Linked DNA regions of Drosophila melanogaster. The gene in region 1 interacts genetically with each later gene. Each region holds a gene or a part of one and is shown on either strand. Other genes may lie near its edges.

Evidence for each region. Genes that interact genetically often act in the same process or in processes that back each other up.
Region 2: of Or67d (region 1) and lush, changing one suppresses a phenotype caused by changing the other (phenotypic suppression), as found in Drosophila melanogaster (2 studies listed by BioGRID).

The regions. Positions count from the first base shown.
Region 1 is NT_037436.4:10,269,985-10,276,027, reverse strand, and holds Or67d (odorant receptor 67d), read right to left. Parts: upstream 2,825-6,043; coding exon 2,490-2,824; intron 2,369-2,489; coding exon 1,931-2,368; intron 1,859-1,930; coding exon 1,669-1,858; intron 1,617-1,668; coding exon 1,404-1,616; downstream 1-1,403. UniProt on the Drosophila melanogaster protein: Plays a role in detection and sensitivity to pheromones and signal transduction of the fatty-acid-derived male pheromone 11-cis vaccenyl acetate (cVA).
Region 2 is NT_037436.4:19,602,474-19,609,248, forward strand, and holds lush (lush), read right to left. Parts: upstream 3,618-6,775; 5' UTR 3,589-3,617; intron 3,499-3,588; exon of another isoform or gene 3,483-3,498; intron 2,974-3,482; 5' UTR 2,779-2,973; coding exon 2,557-2,778; intron 2,502-2,556; coding exon 2,351-2,501; intron 2,291-2,350; coding exon 2,202-2,290; 3' UTR 1,925-2,201; downstream 1-1,924. Other genes in the region: CG9368 (uncharacterized protein), read left to right, coding at 183-508; CG9372 (uncharacterized protein), read left to right, coding at 4,108-4,195, 4,360-4,508, 4,568-4,704, 4,773-5,352, 5,530-5,802; Lon protease, read right to left, coding at 5,953-6,195, 6,259-6,448, 6,508-6,775. UniProt on the Drosophila melanogaster protein: Odorant-binding protein required for olfactory behavior and for activity of pheromone-sensitive neurons.

The DNA of each region.
Region 1 (6,043 bases):
ATAAAGAAATTATACGAAAATGTGATTGTCATTTTTGGGAAGCAAACTTTTTGTATTACAACGACTACGGAATCAACTACACATTCGAAAATAAGTTCGTAAATTATAAAATGTTGTGAACTTAAAATTTATAAAACGAAAAGGATTTAGGTTCAGAAAAAAATTTAATATAATATTTATAGTAAATGGTATATCCTGTTTCTAATCTAATCTAGCTGAAAATATGTATTTATATGTTTAATCATCATTTAAAAATCTTTAAATAAGAGATGTTTAAATATGGAAATTTTTAACAGCTATGAGATACTCCATTTCTGATTCAAGATTTCCAAAAAAAAAAATCCAACAAAATTTTCTATTGCCAAGAAAACAGTACAACGAATATGGCAACTCATGCGGATTTTCTTGAGGGGCTTCCTCTTGGGGTTGGTGTGGGTACTTTTGAGTAGGGAGGATGGGGCGGTGGAGCACCTTATCCATAAGCAATGATGAATAACGGTGCTTACGCTTTGGACATTTGATTAATGATGCGTTTACCGACCTCCCAACACCCCTCAGCAACCATCTTTTTCTTCGTCTTGCGCCCGCGCACTCAATTTTCAACGCCATTTTTCGGTGGATTTCGGTGGGTTTTTATTTTTTTTTTTTGTTTATTTCACGATGGCACACTATTTCGGTTGCGTTTTAGCGGTGCGCGGACTTTTTGTTCTTTATGCCCGGACATAACTTTATTTTATTAGCACTACGTGGCAATCTGCTGGATTTGCACGGCATTAAAAGACAATTTTTACAACTTACCAGCGATGCTTTTTCATACTTTTCCCTCATTTGGATCGCCTGGGTTTTTTCCTTTCCTTTCGATGCTTGCTCTTTTTTTTTTGCTGTTTTTACTATTTTTCATGGTCTGTGGCCTGGCAGACATCATTTTTTGTGGGCCCATAAAGTGCGGGTCTGTTTATTAAATTCCGTTGCGGCAAGTTCATTAGACAAAGAGCAAAAATTAATCAGCGCTCTCCCCATCCAAATTCACTCCTCTCATTTGCTCAGCAGCAGTTTCAGCGGATTACTTTTATAGTATATATTTCTATGGCTAAAAATGGGAGCCAAATTGCCTAGCGATTTACGAGATTTGATCAAAGAAATCTCATTTGTTAAAGGGCTTAAATATTGCTTAGCCACTTTGTGACTATTCTCGGAAATTCTAAATTAGTCAAAATAGGTAATAGTTCTGATAAATGCAAAACCCATTAAAGAACTATTTGATGGTATCCATAAATGTTAGTTTTACAAAGCATGTATGAATATATTTTAATCTACACATTTTTTCAGTTGGCTCATTAAGTGTGTATTGTATTAATATGGTTTAAAAATAAGAGCGACTTTTAATTAAATATTTTGTTTTCTTATCCCAAATAGTTCATCAACATCATGCTGAAACTATATATGCCTTTCGTCAATTGCAAAGCTGTGTTCATCGACAAAGGCGCCATGTCGGCTGCAGTGAGTACAACTTCATTTTGAGCCTTGGCCAGCATCATGATAATAAGTTTCTCCTCCTTAACGGGTAGCTCATACCACAAACAATTCGTGTAGATCACACTTAGGAAATCCTCATTCTGAAAGGCATAAAATGATTACAGTTTCTTAAATAACAACTAAATTACTTACTGAATTTTCTACTAAAGTACCCAAGCCGCAAAAGGTGTAGAGAGTTATGGCGGCATATAAAAGGTAAAGAGGAGCTGCGGGCCAGGCTTTCATAAAGATGCAAGATATGGTACAGAGAAGACCTACGCAAGTTGTGGAAAGTTGAACGAACAAGACTATGGAATAGATCTTCTTGGTGGTTTGAAGCATTCTGCATAAACGCAAATATATATGTACAAAATACTATAAATATAAGTATTAATTATTTCGTTTAGCTAATTACCTAGTATACAGCTGATGCCAGACCAACAGGTCGCAAAGCATGGCTCTCACTTTTGGAAAATCATTCCTTTTCATAACCAACTCGTTAAATTCCGTAAGCTTCACACAGAATATGTCCTTGATTAACGGCACATGGGTAACGAAAAGAAATAGGTACATATCCCCTCCGTAGTTACCAAATCCACCGAATGTAATTAAAATCACATGAGCAGCCGTGAGTATTAGGTGACCACCATCTGTTGTGTGATCGAGGAATGGTATTAGAAATTGCATGACCAATACCTTTTGGTGCAGAATCAGCAAGTAGAATATGGGAAAGGTGATTACAAGGCCCAAAAGAATAATGTAGACGAGCATGAAGCCGATTAAAAGAGTCCATGTAATGCGGATTCGCTTCTCCAAGCATTTAGCATATTCATCTCCCTTAGATCCGTATTCTCTGCGGAAAAATATGAAAATGTTGTAAAATAAATAATTATATTGTTGAATATGTCAATAGAAAATTAATTTATATATTGGAATTGAACAAGTTGTTGCTTTTGTTAAAACCAAACTCTGACCTATAGATATCCTCGTAGGTATTCTGAACTTCTCGCATGTGAGAAGCATTATTGGCGGTTACCAAAAGTTTAGTAAGTCCCTGAACGGCGGAGCCGACCATGGCCAATGCCTGTAGGATTATGGTGAGGTCTCCATTGATGACCACTCCCACATAAATTGTATATCCTGTACAGGCGAAGAAGAAGGCAATGGCTGCCATCACAGCGTAGGTGAGCCACCACATCCGAAAATTGGGATCTGCCACATCGTTTCCGCAAAATCCCACGCAAAAGCGAATCATTCGAATGACTTTACAATAGCGCTCTACAGGCTCAACTTTTGCCATTTTCAACATTGTTTGTTAGCTATGCAACTTAAAGGAGAACTGTTTTTTAATTGTCAAAATAATCCTGCTTTTATAGAGCTTCCAAGCTGGCAATTAATGTCATAATATTGACGTTATAATTGCGGCATTTAGCTAAAGAATCTATTGTAAATAATTAATATTCAAGGGCGGTCGATATCTGAATAAAGTGCAATTACACTCAGCATTAAATATATTTTCCATTAGTGTTCTCAATGGTATATTTCTTTTATGAAAATAAAAGATATAAGTCTAGGAACTTTATGTTCTTCATTGATTTAATAAGAAATGAATCGCATTTTGTTTTTCCCCATCGTAAATTGCCTCCCAGCCAAACAACTTTTTGCATGAGCACATCTGCCACCCCGACCAGAAAACACAATATAAGGAGAAAATCTCCACGCAATTGATTTAATATAAAATTTTTTAATAAAATTTGCTGCCCGGGAAAAAAGTGGACTACGAGTGAAAAAAAAAGAAGGGAAACGTGAGCTGTTAGGGGAGCTTAAAATTATATCTATTTGCGGAGCGCACAAGTCTTGACGTGAAAATTTCGGGACAGGAAGCAGAATGTGGGGGGAAATGCGTAAGCGCCTAAGCTTTCGGCCAACAACTAATAAAGGCTATCAACAACAGTTCAAACAGCACCAGCATCGCAAACAACAACAGGCAGAGCAACAGCAACAAGGACGACAGGACAATGGGCACGAAATCAGGAAAACAGGATGAGAATGCCAGTGTCGACAGCGCATACGCACTCAAGTGAATATTTTCTCATTTTCTTGCATTTAAGTTGGGTTCGCTTTGAAGTTTTGACATTTCATAAAGCGGCAGCGAAACAAATTTCGTTCTTCCTCATTTCGCTTTTATTTCATTTTATTTTTTCGTTTATTCTATATATTTTTTTTTCGATCGAAAATCCGAGCAAACAAAAGTAAAAGCGAACGCTCGGCGCACGCAGAAAAAAAAATATACATATTCCCTGCTTAGTCACCCCTGCGAGAATGGAAGGTGTGGCCAAAAAAAAAAGAAACGACCCTCACAGGCCTACCCCCTGGAAAAATAATCGAAAGCGCCACCCCCACTTACTACCTCGCCATCGTGGCGTATACTTAATATGGGCAAAAGGCCAAGACAACAGGGGCTTTAAGTAGCCAAGGAAACATTAAAGACCCTGCCAGGCATCTCAGTTGGCCCACAAAATTACTTGCTCGTTAGTTAGGAAATACCAGGTATTCGTACTCCCCTCCTCTATAATCAATCTCTATCTCTCTCTTTCTCACTCTGTCCCTGTTCCTCACTCTATCAACCCTCAATGGAAAAAAAAATAAAAGGTGGGCTGTCTCACGCTCGCTTATTTCCAGCCGAACAAAAAACTTCTTCCAGTGGAAAGTGCGTGGCATTCCGAGGCCACCGCCCGCCAGTGGGCGCCACTGTATACACTGCAATTTTTAGTAGATGCAATGAAAGATTGGTGATCTCTTTGTTTGATATTGCGCATGTATAATTGCTAGTAAATAAATTTAAAAAAAATTGAATTCCCTATTAAAAAATAACGTTTATTAGTTAATTTTGTATAAACTGAGTAGTATAGTTTACCCACAAGTAATCTCTTGATATGAACTTAATAGTAGGCTCATAACAGAAAATAGCTCTTGGCTTCTTATTATAAATAATGCCAGTGATTGACCATATTCATAAGTTTTTTTCATAAATTATAGACCAAGTTGCGCTAATCATTTTTTAAAGTACTTCCCCGCCTATACAAGCGTCTTGTTTGTCTCTAATTATATTTTAATTTGCGCAATCTGTCTGTTATTATTTCTGTGCACGGCAATTGCCTCCAAGTGTTTGCACTTCCCGGCGAACATTTTAATTGCAATTATGCCAGGACGACGAAGGCGAGGTCGCCAGTCCTCCAAAGGAACCATCGTCCTTGCCGCAGGGCGTTCTGTTTGGCACGTAACGCCCGTAGCGCCCCTTCAATGGACACTAATTATTCCGGCCGGAGTCGAGCCGAGAAATTCGTGTCAAATCAGAAAGATTTCGCAGCCGCCCTTTTTGGGTAATTACATTTGGGGAATGGAAGGAAATTGAGCGAGTGCACAAATTCGGAATGTTAAACAGCCATCCGACTTGGGGTCAGCTTAAAGAGTGTCTCTAGGAACTGCCAGGACCGTCATGTGACCCTTTCGAGAAGGCAAACAATCGAGCTTGAGCAGCCGAATATTTTATATTTCCAATTTACTGGCAACAACGAATACAAGTCACCTACGGCCCAGCTCATTTCCTGTGCCATTTTGGGCCCGACAAAAGGTGTCAAACGGATGCAGACAACGTGCCGCGTATGTCGAATGTCCTGCAAAGGACTCACCTTTCAAGATGTGGCTCCTGTCCTGTAATCAAAGGAAAGCCGCACCCCAAATTCACCGAACTTTAAACGTTTCTTAATTGTTAAACTGCCGCTGGGCAGCTCCCCAGTTCCCAATATTATCTGGGGGTTCCTGTACACCCCGAAGGACTGAAGACGATGGCTCACAATTAAGCCGAAGAAAAACCCGCCAAAAGACAAAAACAGTAGAAGTAAGAAAAACAGCAGAAAGCTGCACTTGGAGAAATTCAGTTATATTATCTGGTTCATACTAACACTTATTTTCTCTAAAAATTTAATGACTGCTTAAAATGTTCAACTTTGCATTGCCTTTGTAAATCTCTTAATAAAAACACATTGTTTTATAATATATGTAATTTGTTTTTTTTTTTTGTCTGAATTGTTATGAAGGAAAAACATAAAATTAGACTTTTATTTTGCAAAAATACACATATTTGTGCCATTATTTTGAGTGTGAAATATGCTGCCAGTGACTGGCCGTCATGTTAATTAATTTGCCAGGACATCCGCAGTTGGGCGGTGGGTGGCTTGGAGGGGGGCGTGGCCGTGTCCGTGGAAGAGGGCGGTAGAGCAGACCGCGTGTTTATTTTATGCCGTCGCGCTTAAGTGGTAAGCCCCATTAACAACTGCCTGTCGTTTGGCGGGGAAATAATGGCGTTAGATCATCATCGTCGCCTTGGCCAGGAACACACAAAATATATAAAAAAAAAAAGAACAGGACACTGGAGTCCTGCAGCCGTCTGTGCGTCATTTGAGCGCTGAAAGCTTTCAGCGTAAATTGTTGGAAATTAAGAAATGCTCGCCCCAGCCACCCCACA
Region 2 (6,775 bases), 9.3 Mb from region 1:
GAAAGCATATAATTTAGAATATATAAACGCATTCGCACGCCATTTTCACCCATTTTCCAAAAAACCCAGCCAGCTCGATTGCATGACCATATTTTGTTGCACTTAACTTGTATTTTGCGTATCACTGATCTTTATTTCCGTATTTTTGTACTCTCTGCGCCTCGCATGCACTAACCTCTCAGGTTTCGCCATACCAGATTTTAAGAACGGCAAGGTGGTGAATCGCGCTCGAGGATTCGTGGTGCGGATCTTCGATGCCATATGCAATTGCGCCAACAACAATGCGGCGGCGGCCACGACGCGTTTCAAGCTGAGAAGCAACAGCGGCGGAGGGGGAGGCGGCGGAGGTGGTGGTGGCGGAGCCAGCGGAAATGGCAAGCGTCAGCAGTCGCAGAATGAGCCGGAAACCCTAGTCCTGACCAAGAAGAAGCCCGCCGGCGAAGGCAAGAAAAAGAAGGGAGTCAGCATGGCCGATGACGTTCAAGCCGGCGTTCGACTGATGGACTAAGCTAGCTATAATGGACAATGGTTGTCCATGCAATGGGAAAACATAATCAAAATTACCACCAACCCCTTCCTGAACAATGAACTCTTACTCAGCAATCGTCTACTGTCATCTTACCACCTTAATGGATCCTGTCCAGAAGCATTTTCTTCGCTCAAACGTCTTAGGCACAAACCAAATTCTACGTCTTCCCCTTGAAGACCACCAAGTTTATGGTGTAAGCCCTGCAAAGGAATCTTAAAATCGCATAGAACAGGGCTGATGGAAAAGCTTTAGCTCTCTACTATATTGTTTGATATACCCAAATGTGATCCCAGATCGTAATGTTAACGAAAACTCAACTCGAAGCACAAGCAACTCTTCTAGGCTAGTTATGAAAGGAGAAAACCCCTATATACGACATTTGTATACACTCTCCAGCTCTCAGACATTATTTGGTCCCCACGCACAACACAATCAACGGCATTACACAATCCCAGTGGAATCGACGAGGGTTTGCCCCGAATCTCCACCTAATTATAACTACGATATATCAAATTATATACCTAACTATATGTGTATGTGTATGACTATAGTTGTCTACGGAACCACCAACCTATTTAGATGTGTGTGTGTAGCAGTTAAAAGTATTTCCAAACCAAACCAAAGCAGCTAACAACAAACGGTTCAATATACAAGCATTAATGTGTACTGATTTTATATACAATGTACTAACTACTATATATACGTGTGAATGTCATTAGACTCTTAGTTGTTTACACAGGTTTCCTCGAACATCCTCATCAAATTCATCAACTAATCCGCACACACGCTCTAATCGGATATATTTTTGTGAGACCCTTTTTGGAGAGATCTACATACATATATAAAGACACTACTCCTATACCGAAACCGAAATTTAAGATATCGATTACTCTCGATTACAGAGAACTTTGTACGCAGATTTGCAAGGCAACCATTTTGTATAAGATTTGCATTTATTTTGTAACCTCTTGAATGCAAAGATCTCCCTAAGTTTGAATGCATTGCTAAGCCAATTGGATGTTTATCGATTACAAAATGTATAAGTATGCGTTATGCAAACATAAAACCGTTGTATTTAGTTAATAATATCAGCAATAAACTATAACATGTTTGAAATCAATGCGGCGTGTTTATATTTTGGGGTGCCATTTTAATCTACAAAAAGGTTTTCAAATATATGATTAAAGATTGTTTTCAAAAAAAAAGATTTGCTTATCGAATTCAGTCGATTGCGGGTATATACATAATCGAAAAATTAATTTAAACAAAATGTTCTTTGTTACTTTGACAATATATAATTTCAGTTTTGATTCAATCAGAATTGGACGACTTTGTCATATAGGCATACGAATAGTCGGAAAATAGAGTTTCGAATGAAATAATATAACACAAACTACAGTTTCGTCGTTTTTAATCATAAATTGATGTTATTCTGTATACATAAGTTGTCTTTAATATATAAATTTTGGTTTCAATTTAATCAACATCATATTACTGCAAGGGTATATAAGTATATACTTCGGCTTTTTGAAGCTAACTTCCTTTCTTGTCATAATTTATGTTTTACGAATTCCAATTCTATTTGATGATTTCAACATAGATAATAAAGCAATCATCCAAGGATTGGTCATTAAAGGATGAACCAGTATGAATTTAGTTTCCAGAAACATTTTTAAGGCCACATGAACTGCCCATCGGCGTTTTCAGAGAAGCACTTGGCCGTCTGGTAGACCCTCTCGCAAGATTCCTTAAATTGTTTATCTGCAAAGATATACCTTACATATATTTACAGCTATGAAAGGTAAGTGTGGGTGTAGTTACGCGTATCCCGACAAGCTTCAACGGATTTCCTGGACATCTCCATCATTTCCGGGGGAACCAGATGCGGAAGTTGGGCCAGCGCCTTGGGAGCGTTGAACTCCCCCTTTTTGTTCACAGTGCCCGCCATCAAAGACACACACTTTGTGTAGCACTAAAAGGATAAAGGATTCAAACACTGGTGCCTGCAAAATGAAAGCGGCATTCACCATAAGATCCTGCGATGGCGGAAAGTTGAAATCACCCACGCGAAGCCGATCGAGATCTTCTGTTTTGAGCTTAAACTTCGGCGCACAGCCACTGCGGATCATGTCTAGCGAGGTCAAGAACTGCTCCATCGTCATGGCAACTGCAGGATCGGGTAGCAGGAGTACCAGCACTTGCAGGACGATCGCGAAAACAGCGGAAGAGCGTCGTTTCCAATGCTTCATGGTGGCGGAAAGCTAAATACGTTGAGTAACCATGTCGTAGGAGAGTTTTATAGGTGATCATGGTGGCAGGGAAAGGTGGTAATTAAATCGCAGGGATTAATAATTAAGTAACACACTCGCACGCCATTTGAGTTGACTAGGAAGTTGTATTTGTACCATTTGAATGACACGACAATAGTCGAATTTTAGAGATACCTGTTAAAAAATAATAAATAATAATTTTTAAACCAATTTTCAGGATAAAGTGGGTAAGCGATGAGTTTATAGCACCGCATATATGTATATTCATATGTATATGTGATCATATAATATTCCCAGAAATTCAAATCCAGTGCTCTACCTATAAAAATTGTTAAATAATAAAAATATGGTCTTCGCAATAATATTAAAATAATATATTTTAAATATTTTTTAAGGATATTTTGACTAATTATTTGTTTGACGCTTTCTATTTTAAACTTATTTTTTAGTACACTTATTCGGTATTCGTCTTATTACATAATAACATAATCTGCCAACTGAAGTCGCCCCATTCCATTTTCTTCGCCTCCATCATTCAATACTATTACTTAAATTATGTTAAAATGTTAAAGGGTTGGGTTTTAAATTAAGACATTAAAATCATTTCTGCAGTGACAATCAAACCGTGCATCGCAAATGTTTTCTTCGATTCCGGTTGTGCCGTGCAATTGATTTATTATTACTACTTTGATGTGCAAGCGTCAAAAGGCAATTAAATAGAGAATATAACTGAGTATAAAATCTTCCTTAGTATTTCGGAGATGATACTTCTATGGAATCAAAACCCACCGAACCGGATCATTTGCGATGCACATCACGTTCGCCTCGGAGAATCCAAACTGATCATCATGGGCACTACTCGCCCCTGGCAACATGTTGCCAAGCTGTTGCCAGCAACATTGAGATAATACACCAAATTGGGTCTAAGCTCAGAGGCATTAAAGGGGACGTCATTTCAGTGGCTCGCTTTCCGCCCTACAGATAAGCCAAGTGCTCGGATTAACTCAAGTATTATATAATAGTTACTATATCGCTAGCGGTTCCAATCCCATTAAGCTTTCGCCTGGGAACTGAGCATGGAGTAAGACGCTTTAATAGCCAGGAAAACCCCATAGTGTCGACGCATCGAACAGGTTCAACAGCAGTATCCAAGGCAAGACGTATGTAAATTGAGCCGATCTGAGCTCAGCTCCATATCGGAGAAGTAGCTTTAGCTGGTTGGAGAACTGTCAAAACAGAACTGATTCAGCGGGCAACGGAAGCGACACGCGATTAAAATTCCCACTGCACTCGCGAAAATAACTCAAAATGAAGGCATTTCTTTGGGCATTGGTGATTTTACTGGGCTATATCCCGCAGAGTACAATCGCCAAGACTGTATCCACTGATTTTTTAGGTGAGTCACGTTTTTATACCAACATAAAAAATTGTGCAGGTGCATTTAATAGCAAAGTTATTTATCAAAGTTAAAACTCATTTCACCCAAATACTTGATATTTCTAAGACAAATTCCAAGAATCTAATGTAAACCAAACCTAAAGATTTTCGTCTACCACCCAGATCTTCTCGACTTCAGCGATAATGATGAGTTTCAATGGGGGGAGTCGGAGAATCAGGTATACGAAAATCGCACTGGGGAAAACCGCGTCGTAAGTTTCCTGTCCCAACATCGCCTAAACAAGCGACAGGCTCCCACCTCGCAATTGCTGGTGAGTTTATGTCTTATGCATACATACCAGTATCAGGTAACTACAAATGATAACCGCAGGAGAACAAGGATTATGGAGCATGTAGCACTCCATTGGGTGAATCCGGCCGATGTCGCCACATTATCTACTGTCGCATGCCAGAACTTAAGAATGATGTCTGGCGTCTGGTCTCCCAGCTTTGCATCATTGAGAAAAGGTATATGAATTTTTCTTCTTAATGGCTTGGCATCCTTGTATTATATGTACAAATAATTTGTCTTTCAGCTCCATAGGCATTTGCTGCACTGACCAGTCGACGAGCAACCGATTTAGTCCGCAAGTCGTGACCAGTGCGGACGGTGATGAGCCGCGCATCGTTAATAAGCCGGAGCAGCGAGGTTGTGGGATCACGTCCAGGCAGTTTCCCCGCCTCACCGGTGGACGGCCAGCCGAGCCAGACGAGTGGCCTTGGATGGCGGCCCTGCTGCAGGAGGGTCTGCCCTTCGTTTGGTGCGGTGGTGTCCTGATCACCGACCGTCATGTCCTAACTGCCGCTCACTGCATCTACAAGAAGAACAAGGAGGACATCTTCGTGCGTCTGGGCGAGTACAACACGCATATGCTGAATGAGACGAGGGCGAGGGATTTCCGGATTGCCAACATGGTGCTCCATATCGATTATAATCCACAGAACTACGACAATGATATTGCAATTGTCAGAATCGACAGGGCGACTATATTCAACACCTACATCTGGCCAGTTTGCATGCCGCCCGTGAACGAAGATTGGTCGGATAGAAACGCCATTGTCACCGGTTGGGGCACCCAAAAGTTTGGCGGTCCTCATTCTAACATCCTCATGGAGGTGGGTCGCATATTAAAGTATATTTCATTTTATATACAGCGTTTTTATTTTGTTCTTAAGCTTTCAATTTCTTATATTGATCTAAACAAATTGGTTTCAGCAATTTAGTAACTCAAGCTGAACATAACAAAGAAAGCTTTTTTAAATTAAGAAAATATGTATTACTCCTATCTTCAGGTTAACCTGCCGGTTTGGAAGCAGTCCGATTGCAGGTCGTCATTTGTACAGCACGTTCCGGACACTGCCATGTGCGCTGGATTTCCGGAAGGAGGTCAGGACTCCTGTCAAGGCGATAGCGGAGGTCCTCTGTTGGTACAACTTCCCAACCAACGCTGGGTCACGATCGGCATCGTGTCCTGGGGCGTCGGCTGCGGACAGCGGGGTCGCCCGGGTATCTACACTCGCGTGGATCGCTACCTGGACTGGATTTTGGCTAATGCAGATGTCTAGGATATACGCAGTACTGTCTTCAGTTCGATGGTACATTCAATTTACTTGGCATTAGAATTAACAAATGCTATGGTCTAAATAAACTAATTAACCTGATAACGATAGATATTTATAAAACCTATCAACACCCGCAACACCCCCAAGCTAAATCTAAGAATAAGGCCACGTCTCCGATTTGGCAGCGGCCGCACTGGAAAGCTTCTGCAGCGGCTCCTGCTCTTCAACATTGTTGGTTGTCGTTTCGGTTACATCAGTAAACGCTATCTTGTAGACATCCTCGTAGGTGGTGGCAAAGTGAACCTCCAGACCATCTGTAATGTACGTGGGCAACTCCTCGAAGTCTTTCTTGTTATCCACAGGCAGAATAAGACAATTCACTCCACTACGACGTGCCTGAATGAGGGTGATTTATTTATATTTACACACAAATAGATCATTTATTTCTGTTTTACTTACTGCAATCGTCTTTTCCTTAATACCACCCACGGGTAGCACTTTTCCCTTCAGGGATACTTCGCCCGTCATAGCGATATCTTGGCGCACCGGCTTTCCAGTGGCCAACGATACGAGAGCTGTAATAATGGTGATGCCCGCACTGGGGCCATCTTTCGGTGTGGCACCTTCAGGAACATGGAGGTGAATGTGCCTGTAAGGGCCACATATATAGATTAACGAAAATAAGAAAACGCAAATTAAAAAACTTACTCTTGCTCTAAGAACAGATTATTGGGTTCCAGCGAATATAAAAAGTTGCGCGCCACCGTTAAGGCTATTTGGGCCGACTCCTTCATGACATCTCCCAAATTTCCGGTGATGTGCAGCGATCCGGCGACAGTGTTCGGATCTGTTTTTGCCCCCTGGCGAATGTGACGCCTTGAGGTTTCGATGTAAAGCGATGAACCACCCATGGCGGTCCAGGCCAGACCCATGACTACACCCACCGGTGTGGTTGCGTACATGCGATCTGAGCTAA